3 linked regions of the Rattus norvegicus genome follow. The protein of the gene in region 3 interacts with the protein of the main gene of each other region in a biochemical or structural test. Links are inferred from orthologs where the notes say so. Each region holds a gene or a part of one and is shown on either strand. Other genes may lie near its edges.

What was found. The genes of interacting proteins can lie anywhere in the genome.
Region 1: the proteins of Ubxn2b (region 3) and Ppp1r11 form a complex in vitro, tested with the Homo sapiens proteins (2 studies listed by BioGRID). The link is inferred for Rattus norvegicus from reciprocal best matches to the Homo sapiens genes UBXN2B and PPP1R11.
Region 2: the proteins of Ubxn2b (region 3) and Ppp1r7 form a complex in vitro, tested with the Homo sapiens proteins (2 studies listed by BioGRID). The link is inferred for Rattus norvegicus from reciprocal best matches to the Homo sapiens genes UBXN2B and PPP1R7.

The regions. Positions count from the first base shown.
Region 1 is NC_086038.1:1,605,172-1,608,921, reverse strand, and holds the start of Ppp1r11 (E3 ubiquitin-protein ligase PPP1R11), read right to left. Parts: upstream 2,340-3,750; 5' UTR 2,139-2,339; coding exon 2,067-2,138; exon of another isoform or gene 1,762-2,066; coding exon of another isoform or gene 1,750-1,761; exon of another isoform or gene 1,700-1,749; coding exon of another isoform or gene 1,691-1,699; intron 512-1,690; coding exon 403-511; intron 33-402; coding exon 1-32. UniProt on the Homo sapiens protein: Atypical E3 ubiquitin-protein ligase which ubiquitinates TLR2 at 'Lys-754' leading to its degradation by the proteasome.
Region 2 is NC_086027.1:101,332,568-101,336,312, reverse strand, and holds the start of Ppp1r7 (protein phosphatase 1 regulatory subunit 7), read right to left. Parts: upstream 2,817-3,745; 5' UTR 2,755-2,816; coding exon 2,703-2,754; intron 217-2,702; coding exon 88-216; intron 1-87. UniProt on the Homo sapiens protein: Regulatory subunit of protein phosphatase 1.
Region 3 is NC_086023.1:24,111,192-24,114,841, reverse strand, and holds part of Ubxn2b (UBX domain-containing protein 2B), read right to left. Parts: intron 2,971-3,650; coding exon 2,820-2,970; intron 1,530-2,819; coding exon 1,446-1,529; intron 773-1,445; coding exon 663-772; intron 1-662. UniProt on the Homo sapiens protein: Adapter protein required for Golgi and endoplasmic reticulum biogenesis. Involved in Golgi and endoplasmic reticulum maintenance during interphase and in their reassembly at the end of mitosis.

The sequences.
Region 1 (3,750 bases), on a different chromosome or scaffold from region 3:
AAAGGCCCGAGGTTTCTCATAAATACAGCAGCCTGCACGGAGAGGGAGGACGCCAGTTAAGAAGGATGAAGAACATAGTGCCCGGTCAGTCTCATTTCCACCATGTATGTTCAGAAATCCTCTCTCAACCACTGTCTCCTCCTACTTCCTGGAATCCAGCTGCCTTAGCCTCCTCCCCAGGTACTCAGGTACCTATGAGTCCTGTCTCCTCAGAGAGTTGGAGGCACCTGCCTTCCATGCTGCCATGGCTCCCCCAGCCCCCACCCCCAGGCTTTGGTTCTGCAGAGTTTGACTCCCACCCAGTTTTCTTTCCAACCAAGAACTTGAGGGGCTGTAAAGCACCAGAATCAGAGATGGTGGCCGGGGCCCGCTGGACCCCCCCGCCCCCACACACACACTCACATTTCGATGAGCGGCGGCCCATATGCTCATTGTCCACAGTGTCACTTGACCACTCCACCTTCTTCTCTGGCTTCCGTTTCCGAAGTTTAATGGTTAGGCTCCGATTCTCCTGCAAAGTTAAAGAGGTATGGGCCCATCTAGCTCACTTCCTCTTGACTTTTCCCGTTTCCCATGGAACCTCCTCTTTTGTCATCTGTGGCTCAGTCAGTAGCACGCACCATGCCCCTGGAGGAGCCAGGTGCTGGGAGTCAAAAAAGGACATGTGTTTAGCCTGTTTGTGGGGAGTATGGACTCCTGTTCTCGATAACCAATAGTATGCAAGGAAGACAATTCTTAACCTAGGGTAGATGCCAGCAAATCTGCAACGCAGGACACAACGCTCCCTGTTTCCTCTTCCACATCACCCTTGGTGATATGAATAGTAGGACTGTTATTTTCCCCTTTTCCTGTGACTGATCTTTGACCTCCCTTTCCTCTCCACCCCTCTGATTCATGTTCGCTCTAAAGAGATTGAAGGCATGTAATCCAAGCATTTAGTAGCTTCTACAACTTGGTAAAGCTTTTTTCTTGTGGAAAAAAAAAGATAAAGAAAGAAAGAAAGAAAGAAAGCAAGCAGGGATGGGAAACATCTCTGTTGGTAAAGTTCTTTTTTTGCAAGCATGAAGACCTGAGTTTGATCTCCCAAAATCAAGAAAACAACAACAACAACAACAACAACAACAACAACAACAAGAAGTCAGATGTGGTGATGGTGGTGCACGTTTGTAATTCCAGTATTGGAGAAGTGGAAAAAGGCAGATCTCTTGCTAGCCAGTCTAGCCTATTTGGCCAGCTTTAAAAAAAAAAAAAAAAGATTTTGTATCAAAGAAGAAAGGAAAGAAGGAAGGAAAGAAAGAAAGAAAGAAACAAACAAACTTATGCCAGGCTTGAGAAACATTTGAGATTGACTTCAGGCTACATACATCCACACACATCAAAATAAAACAAATATCCAAAATTCTCCTCCTACAAAGAGAGCCTTCATTCTTCTCTCATCTTCAAGCCCAGGGCTCCCTAATCGTATTCACTTATTCTTTAACACCCTGGCATCTCTGGTAATAATTACTAAACAACTAAGCCCCTTTCAACCCAGACATTATTAGACCCAGCGCATCTTTCTCCCTTTGAAAGCAATTTGGTTTTGCAAAGGCTGTTTGCTCATTTGCTTCTCTCCTCTCTGATATGTCAAAATACTACCTTCACCTTATTTTCTTGTTTCCTCATTCCCTCCCTCCGCTTTAACACGCACCCATTCCATGACTATCTATTGGCGAGCACTACTGGTAAGTACTCGTTCTGCACGCTTGCCTCCAAAACCATGCTTTCTCAAATGGCGTTTCGCTTCCTTCCAGTACCTTCCTTGGTCCAGTTTCCGTTTATTACGTACACAGACCACCACCCCAAGCCGTAACACCTATACTCTAATTGTAACTGCAGATTAAACAATCCTTGACGAGTCACTTGAACCATCTGAGCCGCTCCAAGCATTTCTAGTCACTTCCGATTTTCCCAGTAAGAGTAAACCCCACAGGTCCCAGATCCCAAACCCTCCAACTTTCCAGACCCCCATCCCCCTCCCAGTGCTTCCCAGACCCCTAAACAGCCCCCCTGCCCGCGTTTCTCACGGGCTCGGTTGTCACGGTAACCGTTGTCTCAGTGACGGTCTCACTCAGCCCCCCGGCTCCTGCCTCCGCCATGGCTAAAGCGAAAAGCGAGGAACCAGGATGAGACACCCCTCCCTTTTTCTGCGCCTCTGAGATCTAAGAGAACCGGTACACGATTCGGAGTAGAGGCCAGGATGCTCTGGCTTCTTAATCTCCCCTACTCCTCCAGGGCCTCTGCTTCCCCACCCCTGGGGAAAAACCTGTCCAACCCCACTTCCGGCCTTTCACTTCCGGGTGTGACGCATCCTGCAGAACCCAGTTTCTCTTCCCCAGCACCGCTCGGGCCAAAACAGGCGTCATCAGATTAGTTCCGCCGTAATGCAATAGAGCGCAGACGCTAAGGTTAGCAGAAGCTACGTCATTGTGGGGTGGGGCCAGGCGGCCCAGGGCCTAAGTTCATTGGCCGGTCAACCCTGCAGGCACAGGGGATGAGCTCTCTGTGCCCACGACGCTTCCCCTACCTGCTGTATCCTTGAGCGTGAAAAAAATAGGTGGGACAGGGACTCTATCTCGGCCAAATTCCATTTTACTATTCTGTCGAGAAACGGTTTTCCGGGAGCAGGAAATGCACTGGGGTCTAGTCCTCTCCCTGTTTGTTGATATCTCAGTGAGGGTACACTAAACCTGAAATTATTCGACTGTAGTAGGCCCTAAGATAAAAGTGTGAAACACCCAGACTGCTGTTTAGTTCTCTGTTTGAAGAATGCAAGGGCTAGATGCAGGGGGCAGAGTGAAAAATTCAAATTCATCTGGTTAAGTTCTGTTGAATCTTTCACCATCCGTCCCAAAATTCCAGTTTTTGTTTCCTTACAATGAGAAACTAAATTTAGATAGGATATATGTATCATATGTATACCGGTTTCGCTTTTTATTTATTTTTTTTTATTGGCCTTGTGATGGTTTACATTTAGGCTTACTGTGCTTGAGAGACCAAACGTGAAAAAAGGCCTTTAATTTGTAAGCTCCTAGCTTTTACAAGTTGTACCCTGGCAGCCCACTTACCTTTTTTTTTTTTTTTTTTAACCAGACACGGGGTTTCTTTGTGTATAGCCCTAGCCTCGATTAGTAGACCAGGCTGTCCTCAAACTCAGATTCATCTACTTATGCCTCCCCATGTACTGAGATTAAAGGCCTACACTACCACCACCCAATACATTATTATTCTGTTTTTTAAATTTTATATTTTTGCTTATTCACTTTATATCCTGCTCACTGTGTCCCTCTCACAACCCTTCTCCCATCCCCTCACCCCTTTTCCTCTGAGCTGGTGGGAGCCCTCCTGGGTATCCCACCCTGGCATTCAAGCTAGGTGCCTTCCATCCCATTGAGGCTAGACAAGGCGGTCCAGCTAAAAGAACCTATTCCATGTACAGGTAACAGATTTTGGGGTCGCCCCCACTCGGTTGTTTGGGACCCACATGACAACCAATCTGTTACATACGTGGGGGAAGGTCTGGGTCCAGCCCACGTATGATCTTTGGTGGTTCAGATTCTGAGAGCCCTAAGGGTCCAGGTTAGTTGACTCAGTTGGTCTTCCTGTGGAGTTCCTATTCCCTTCTGGGCTTGAAATCCTTCCTCCTATTCTTCCATAAGAGTCCCCAAGTTCCACACACTGTTTGGCTGTGGGTGTCTGTATCTGTCTGAG
Region 2 (3,745 bases), on a different chromosome or scaffold from region 3:
CGTGAGGAGACACCGTGTACAAAGAGCAGTATTCTTCAACAGCACCCTTGCCCTGCTGGGTGAGTTCAAAGTAACTAAACCCAGTACCTTCCGGATCTTCTGCGCCCCGTTCTACCCCATCCTTCAGGCTCTGCTGGCTGAGGTCTGCCACGATGCCACCGCCATGCTTCTTCCCTTCCTCATCACCTGATTCTTCAGATTCAACACGCCTGTCAACTGAACCCACACATCAGTGACAATTCACATCTACTTCATGTGACAATTTGAGGAACACAAAAGAGATTAACAACAGTTGTAAGTCAGCAAGCCTTTTTTCTAAAATAGCTGAACTCATTTTATGAACATTTGAATGTCTTCCACATCCAATAATATTTAAGATACAGGGACAGAAACTGGGAGGTCACATGAAGACAATTAATATGTCATTCTTCCCCTCTAAGAGCTTGTCAAGAATTGACAAGTGTTCTGAAATCTGGATCATCTACGATTGGGAACACTATTGACACCAGGTACTGAAGTTCCTTCCAGGCGGCTCTCATATCTGACGTTATGTCCACCACAAGAGGAACCCTTCTGCCACATACCCTCATTGATGTCTCACTATCCATTTGGCCAAGAAAACTGGTTCAATTTTCAGGCCCCACATTCCAAAAGAAATCAAGACCAAGGGTTGGGGGTTTAGCTCAGCGGTAGAGCGCAAGGCCCGGGGTTCGGCCCCCAGCTCCGAAAAAAAGAAAAAAGAAAAAAAAAAAAAAAAAAAAAAAAGAAATCAAGACCAGCTAAAATCAGACAGTGGGCAGAATGAATGAAAATGAGATGGTCTCAAAAACGCCAGATGCTCCCAGCAAACTGCTGGTGTTAAACCACCACAGGGCAGAGTTAACAATGCAAAGTGTTTTTGGAGTAAATAAACAGATTTCGAGTTATGAACAAAGCAGCAATGAGATGTGGCTTTGGCAAATGATCATCCTTTCTAAACCTTGATATTCATCTCTGTAGAAGAGTTAGTAGAGTACCCTCCCCTTTCAGGACCAAATGAGAAAGGGCACAACAGTAGTAGCTCATGCCTATGGCATGTAGGAGAATTTATGAGTTACCAAGAGGACATCCTGTGATCTGGGGTTAGGGAAATGAGGCTCTGTACCTCCCTCAGGAGGAGCCAGAGGATAGAAGGGAGAGTGGGTGCACCCTGTGCCTGTATCCTCAGGGCAGTAGAAAGCTTCCAGAGCCTGAGATAATGTGCAAGAATGTGACTGTGAGGCTCTGGGTATAACAGGCTAGCAAAAAGGCAATGAACTCTATCAAGAGGAGGAAGGCTTGAGTAAAGGTTAGCAGTGATAGAGAAGGTGGCAAAACATGCTCTGCCTGGTCCGCACAGGCCGTCTTTAAAAACAAAACAAAACAACAACAAGGCCAAACCAAACCAGGCTCTCAAACCAAACCAAACAACACTCCCACCCTCCGAATCTCCAAAAAGACATAGGGCCATAGAAACCTAAGTACCAGCTGGTAATGACATGTGTGGGAGTGGAAGAGAGGAAAAGCTTGGCTTTTGTATTTGCCCTTTACTGAGGAGGGAGGGGAGAGGTGTACTGGAGGAGGGAAGAGGGGGACAGAAGAAGCATTTCCTCACTTAAGAAAGAGTCAAAGGTTAGAAACAAAAGACCTCTAGGATGACTCCCTTCAAGTCTCTCTAAGAACTTCTCTGGGCAGCCTTGCTGGCTCTCCTTACTCCCCATTGCATGACTTTATTTAGGTCATGTTTCCATACGCCTTTGCTTTTGACTGGGTTTCCTTTCTCTGGAATGATACTGGTCTTCCCCATGTGACCCCAGGCTGGGTGACGTCTAGTCATTTTTCAGGGCCCATCTCAGAAAGGGATCACTGCTCTCAAACTCACCGCTCTTCTCTTCCACATCCCTGTCCCTTGCTCTGCAACTCTCTTTCCTAGCACTCTTCCCCGAAAAGTGAGTGATCTTCCAGAAGTGAGCGATCCTCACCGAAGTAGAGGAGTCTTTCAAAGGCTTTTAAGATTCGCCTAATGCTACAGCAGGTGGGGCAAGTACATGTACATATGTACAAGTCTGTGTGAATACATACACTCACATACATGCATGTAACGATCACGTATCTACACAACTGTATACAAAAGCATATACATGTGTTACATGTGTATTTACACATGTATACGATGACATAATCCAACACACTGAAGGAAGAAAGTTGAATATAGTCTTTTCGAGACTATAGAAAAATAAGACAACGCCTTGTAAAATCAATTTCCGGAGCTCTTTTTTACCCGACCCTCTGCCACAACCCATTCGCTTCCAGAGCAGACTCTTTTCCATCCATGCCGCGTGAACAAACTGGACTTTACAGTCCCCACGCCTGAAGCCTCAGTTTCCCTGCCCCCTCGCCTGTCAATCTCGGAGCTTTAAGACCAGGTTCCTATAGCCACGGCTTTCTCGCCAATCCCCCTGGGCGGGCTCGCGCCACGTTGTTCCCCGGGGTATGGTCCTTCTGGCCGCTACCGCTCTCGGGCCGGGGTTCCCGTCTCCGAGCCTCCCCGGCACTGCCCAGCCATGTTGGCAGCTGTCAGAGCTTCGTGGCTGTGGCCGGAGGCCGAATTCCGATCCGACTAGAGGCCGTGCCCGCCCAGCCCCCAGCTCGCCGCTCCCGGGTCGCCCACAGGGGCCGCTCACCCTCCATCATCTCCTGCGACTGTTGCTGCCCCGCGCCGCGCTCCGCCGCCATATTGGCTGCTCTTCCCCTTTCCGGAATCTGTCGCCTCAGGCCATGGGCCAATCAGGATTCCAGGTCCAGTCGGCCAGCCAATGGAACAAAGTATAGAAGCGCGAGCTGACACGCTTGCGTGGTCGCAGTGTTTCATGGGAATTGTAGTTCCCCAGGGCCCGGCCCCCCCCGAGTTAGGGGTTTGATGAATGAGTGGAGTCTAGGCGAGCACGGCGAACGTAGACATCCCGGAAAGTCATCAGGCAGCATGGGAGACACTTCAAGCTTGCAGATTCGCTCAAGTCACTGTGCTGACTTCGGAGGCGTAAAGTTACTGAGGCCAGGAGAGCTCTACAGGCCAAAGGTAAAACAGAATAGACATGCCCCGACTTCCGGAGCCTCAATGCTGTGTGTCTGCACCGTGAGCAGGTAGGCGAGGGAGAACAGTTTATTCCGCGCCTGCGCGCTGATATATTGGCGCCAAGTGCTGCCTTTAGCGGATGCTTGGAGAAGGGGAGAGAGGCCACGGCTCGGTTTCGGGGGCGCGCGTTCGCCGCCTCCGGCCCACAGAGAACCACCTTATCGTCCGCTTCTGCTCATCGTCCTCGCCTTGAGAATGTGGCCGCCAAAAGGAGGGCTGCACGTCGCTCACCGTCCTCGGTTCCGCTGTAGGAGTGAACTGCAGTCACTTGGCGTGATAGGGGTGAGAGGGGGCCGGAGAAACCAGTTTCTTTTGGCTCCTCCGAGGCACTGTAGTGGACGTCCAGCGCGTCCCTAGCAACCGTTTGCGCGCGCTCAGCAGCTTGCTTTCACTGAGGCCCGCCCATCAAGGTGTCTGGTTGGTTCTTGACCCCTTGTTACTCTGCCTACGATTGGTCGGTGGGGCAGAAGCGCGCGGATCTTTACGGTGTGAATCCGGCTGAGAGTTGCGCCGGCCTCAGGTGAGACACCAGCTTTCTAAGGAGCCCCGGGTGGTTGCGTGGCTCAGTTCTGCGTCGAGGTGGAGTAGCCG
Region 3 (3,650 bases):
TTAGGAGACTAACAACTCTTCCAGAGGTTCTGAGTTCAACTCCCAGCAACCACATTGTGGCTCACAACCATCTGTAATGGGATCCGATGTCCTCTTCTGGTGTGTCTGAAGAGAGTAATAGTGTACTCACATACATACAATAAATAAATCTTTAAGAAAAAAAGAGAGATTTCTTGGAGCAGAGCCCATAGTGTCATCATAGGTAAAAGATATTCAATCATCTAATATCCTTTCTCCACAAAGATCCATCTCCCCCAAATCACTTGTGTAATAAGTCACCGTAATTAATTCTTGAAAGCTAGTAGTATATACAAAACAGTGAAAGAGAGAGAGAGAGAGAGAGAGAGAGAGAGAGAGAGAGAGAGAGAGAAACAGTCAAATAGTTGCCACACAAGCATGATAGCCTCTAGAACGTAGATAAGGAGGCTGGATGTGGTGGTGTGAGCCTGTAACCCAGCACTGGGGTCACAGACCCTGGAGCTCAGTGACCAACCAAGTCTGGCCTATTTGTCAAATTCTCAGCAAGTGAGAAAACCACTGAGGTTGACCTACGGTCCCCACATGCACTTGTACACATACATATACAGGCACAGGAACATGCATGCACATACTAAAATAGTTCCATTCAACATGATAAACAAAACACAAATAATTCCTCTTACCCTCTCTTAACGGACTCCAAAAATTGAGCATTTGTTGGGTCGCTGTAAGGCCTCAGTTCTCCATCATCTAAACTGAAACCATTGCTCCACAGCCTCAGTAAAATCTGAACCTTTGGAGGTACAAAAAAGAGAAGAATTCATCTCCAAGCGATGTTAAGTTTCAGTGTGGTATTTCCCAAATTACTACCTGATTGATTTATCTTAAAATATGAAGATATTTTATTCAAAGCTAAATATGTGTGCTCATGTGTTTACTTAAGAGGTTTATTTTTAGCTTAAAACACTAATAAAAGCTGCAAATATCAAAGTCCCACAGGAGGAGCCTGGCTTCTGTGCAGTTGCTCAGAGTTCACTGAGGAAACAAACAGTGAGAAGATGGACTCTGCTTGGCTCCTGTGACTCATCCACACCCAAGCTCTCCTGTTCTGCACAGCTTAAACATCAGGACAACGCGCAAGGCAGACCTTCGCAAAATCTAAAAAATTATTATTTTAACGTTCCAAAGTCAACAGAAATAATGGTTTCACTTTTTTTTTAAAACTGTACTCATTTTGTATTATGAAGGTATACAATTTTAAAAAAGAATTACAAGAATTATATATTCCTGCCACAAATAGTTATACATCTCTAAACGTAAGACATAGCAGATAGAAACAGAGTTTGGCTTCAACCCATGCTTTGAAAACGAATAAGCGAGAGTATATTTAATGTCAAGTGTTAAGTTCAGAAAGGGGGAAAAGTAGCATTAGAGGGAATGCTTGACCATTTTGGGGCGGTACATACATCTTGCAGCTGATTTTCTCCATAGATATACTCTGACCTCTTATAGAAGGAACTGCCCAGTCTGTACCCTCCACCTGTAAATGACTAAAATACACCACAAATGGGTAGAAATGGGTTAAGAGTTCTCCACGGCTGACACTCAAAATGTTATTCTTATACTTGACACATTAGACAAATAATAACTGACCAAATTCATATTGACTAGGAAAACATATTGGAATAAGACCTTGAGTTAGAAAGAAGTGTGAGAAGTTAAATATTTTCTCATAAAAACATCAGTAACTCAAAATATGAAATAACGTAGTTTGATTGCCAGAAGCCACAATGGTAGAGAGAACGGACTCTTGCAAGTTGTCCTCTGTCTGCCATATGTGTGTTGTGGACATGTGGACACATACAAATAACTGTTACAACAAAAAATTCTATATGTATTTAATAGGCTTTTAAATTTTTTAATGGTTTTAATTAAAATAGAAATTATGTCACTTTCCCCTCCAGTTCCTCCCACACCCCCATTCTCAAGTTGATAACCTTTTTTATTATTGCTACATACATGCATTGTTATATAATGTATATATACGCAAACATTATACATATATACACTGAATGTTTTTGTTAATAGTATGCATATGATTTCAAGGGTAATCACTGTATTGGACAACCAATAAAGGGCTCATCCCTGAGAGAGTTGATTTCCCTCTCCCAGCAGTCATCAGTGTCTGTAGTTCTCAGGAGTATGACCCATGAAATTCCCCCTCCATGTAAATGTGTCCATTGACACTGCCATTGACGCAGTCTAGGTTAAGCAGCCATTTCTAGGACAGAATGTTTCACAGCAGACTCCGTGGAATTCTGGTTCTTACAATCTTTTGGCCCCCTCTTCCCTGATGTTCCCTGAGTCACAGGTGCCGGGGCTGTGATGCAGATGTAGTTGTTGGGGTTGGGCTCACCACAACATATTGATCTCAGCATTTGTGCCTATTTGTTTTCTGTGATGGCCTCCATTTCAAGCCTTTTTCTAAGCTACAGTAAATTGGCTATGGTCACAATTGATTAACTACAGCAAACTGGCTATGGTCACACTTAGGATAATATGAGAACTGGCTCTTCTTTTAGTTACCATTTTCATCACAAATGCACTTTTAATTATAACCTCACTTCGTTTTACAAACTAAATCAAACCCATACTTTTCTAACAGAACTGGATAACTTAGAGGCTTGACTGCAGGAAGCTGTCCAGCTGCTGCCAAATAAAGACTAGAGTCGAGCCTCACGGAGAACAGCCATAACAGTGGGTGCCAAAAGGATCAGGAAGGCTGTGTGTAGACACCTCCTAACTTCCCAGAAACACTGTAGGTTTAAGACAGCACTGACCTTAGCTTTGTCATCACTTGAAGATCTTGTGGCTTCATTTAGAGGGACAGCCCCATGTTCCCTTGCCTCTTTGAAAAGTTCGTTCACAATTTTCCCAGTTGGAGGTTGAGCTATATGTAATCCACCATATTCCTGATCACCTGAATAAAGCCTTTAAACATCAGAGCTCATAAATACAAACGCACAATAGACATAAACTATTTAAAATAAGAAGCTACATAGCTTTATGAAATAACTTTCATTTATAAAGAAGTTCACCTAACTTCTTCAGGTGTAACCTTAAAATGAAACTCAAATGGGACAGTTTGTATCCCTTCTGAGTCTGTGCAGAGTCCAACAATTTTAGCAACATGGTAACGGGGTCCTTGCCTCCTCCCTTCACCCTGTCTGCCTAGGAAATTCTACTTTCTCAGACCACTGTCTTCTACTGCTGTGGTGAAGCACTCATCTACAGGAAGCCATTTACCAGGCACATATGATTACACAAGAAGCTTTACTCTTTGGAGATTCTTGAATTAAAAAATTGCACTACAATTCCCAGTGTAAATAATTTCATATATTCTCTGTGTAGTAACAAAGATCTCTGCCCTGACTCTAACTTAAGTGCTATGAAACATACATTTCTATCCACTTAAGATTAATATTCTTTCGATTGATTTTATTTTTGCCTAGTATACTGAGAAAATTGAATCAATGAAGAAACAGACATGCTTCCAGTATGTGCAGAGTTCATGCTTTGTTTTCCCATACTTTCTCCTCCAATTCCCAGTTCACACTCACAAAGCAATAGTGGAAACTACTACAGCCCTGAAGAAGGGGCAAAGGTATTCT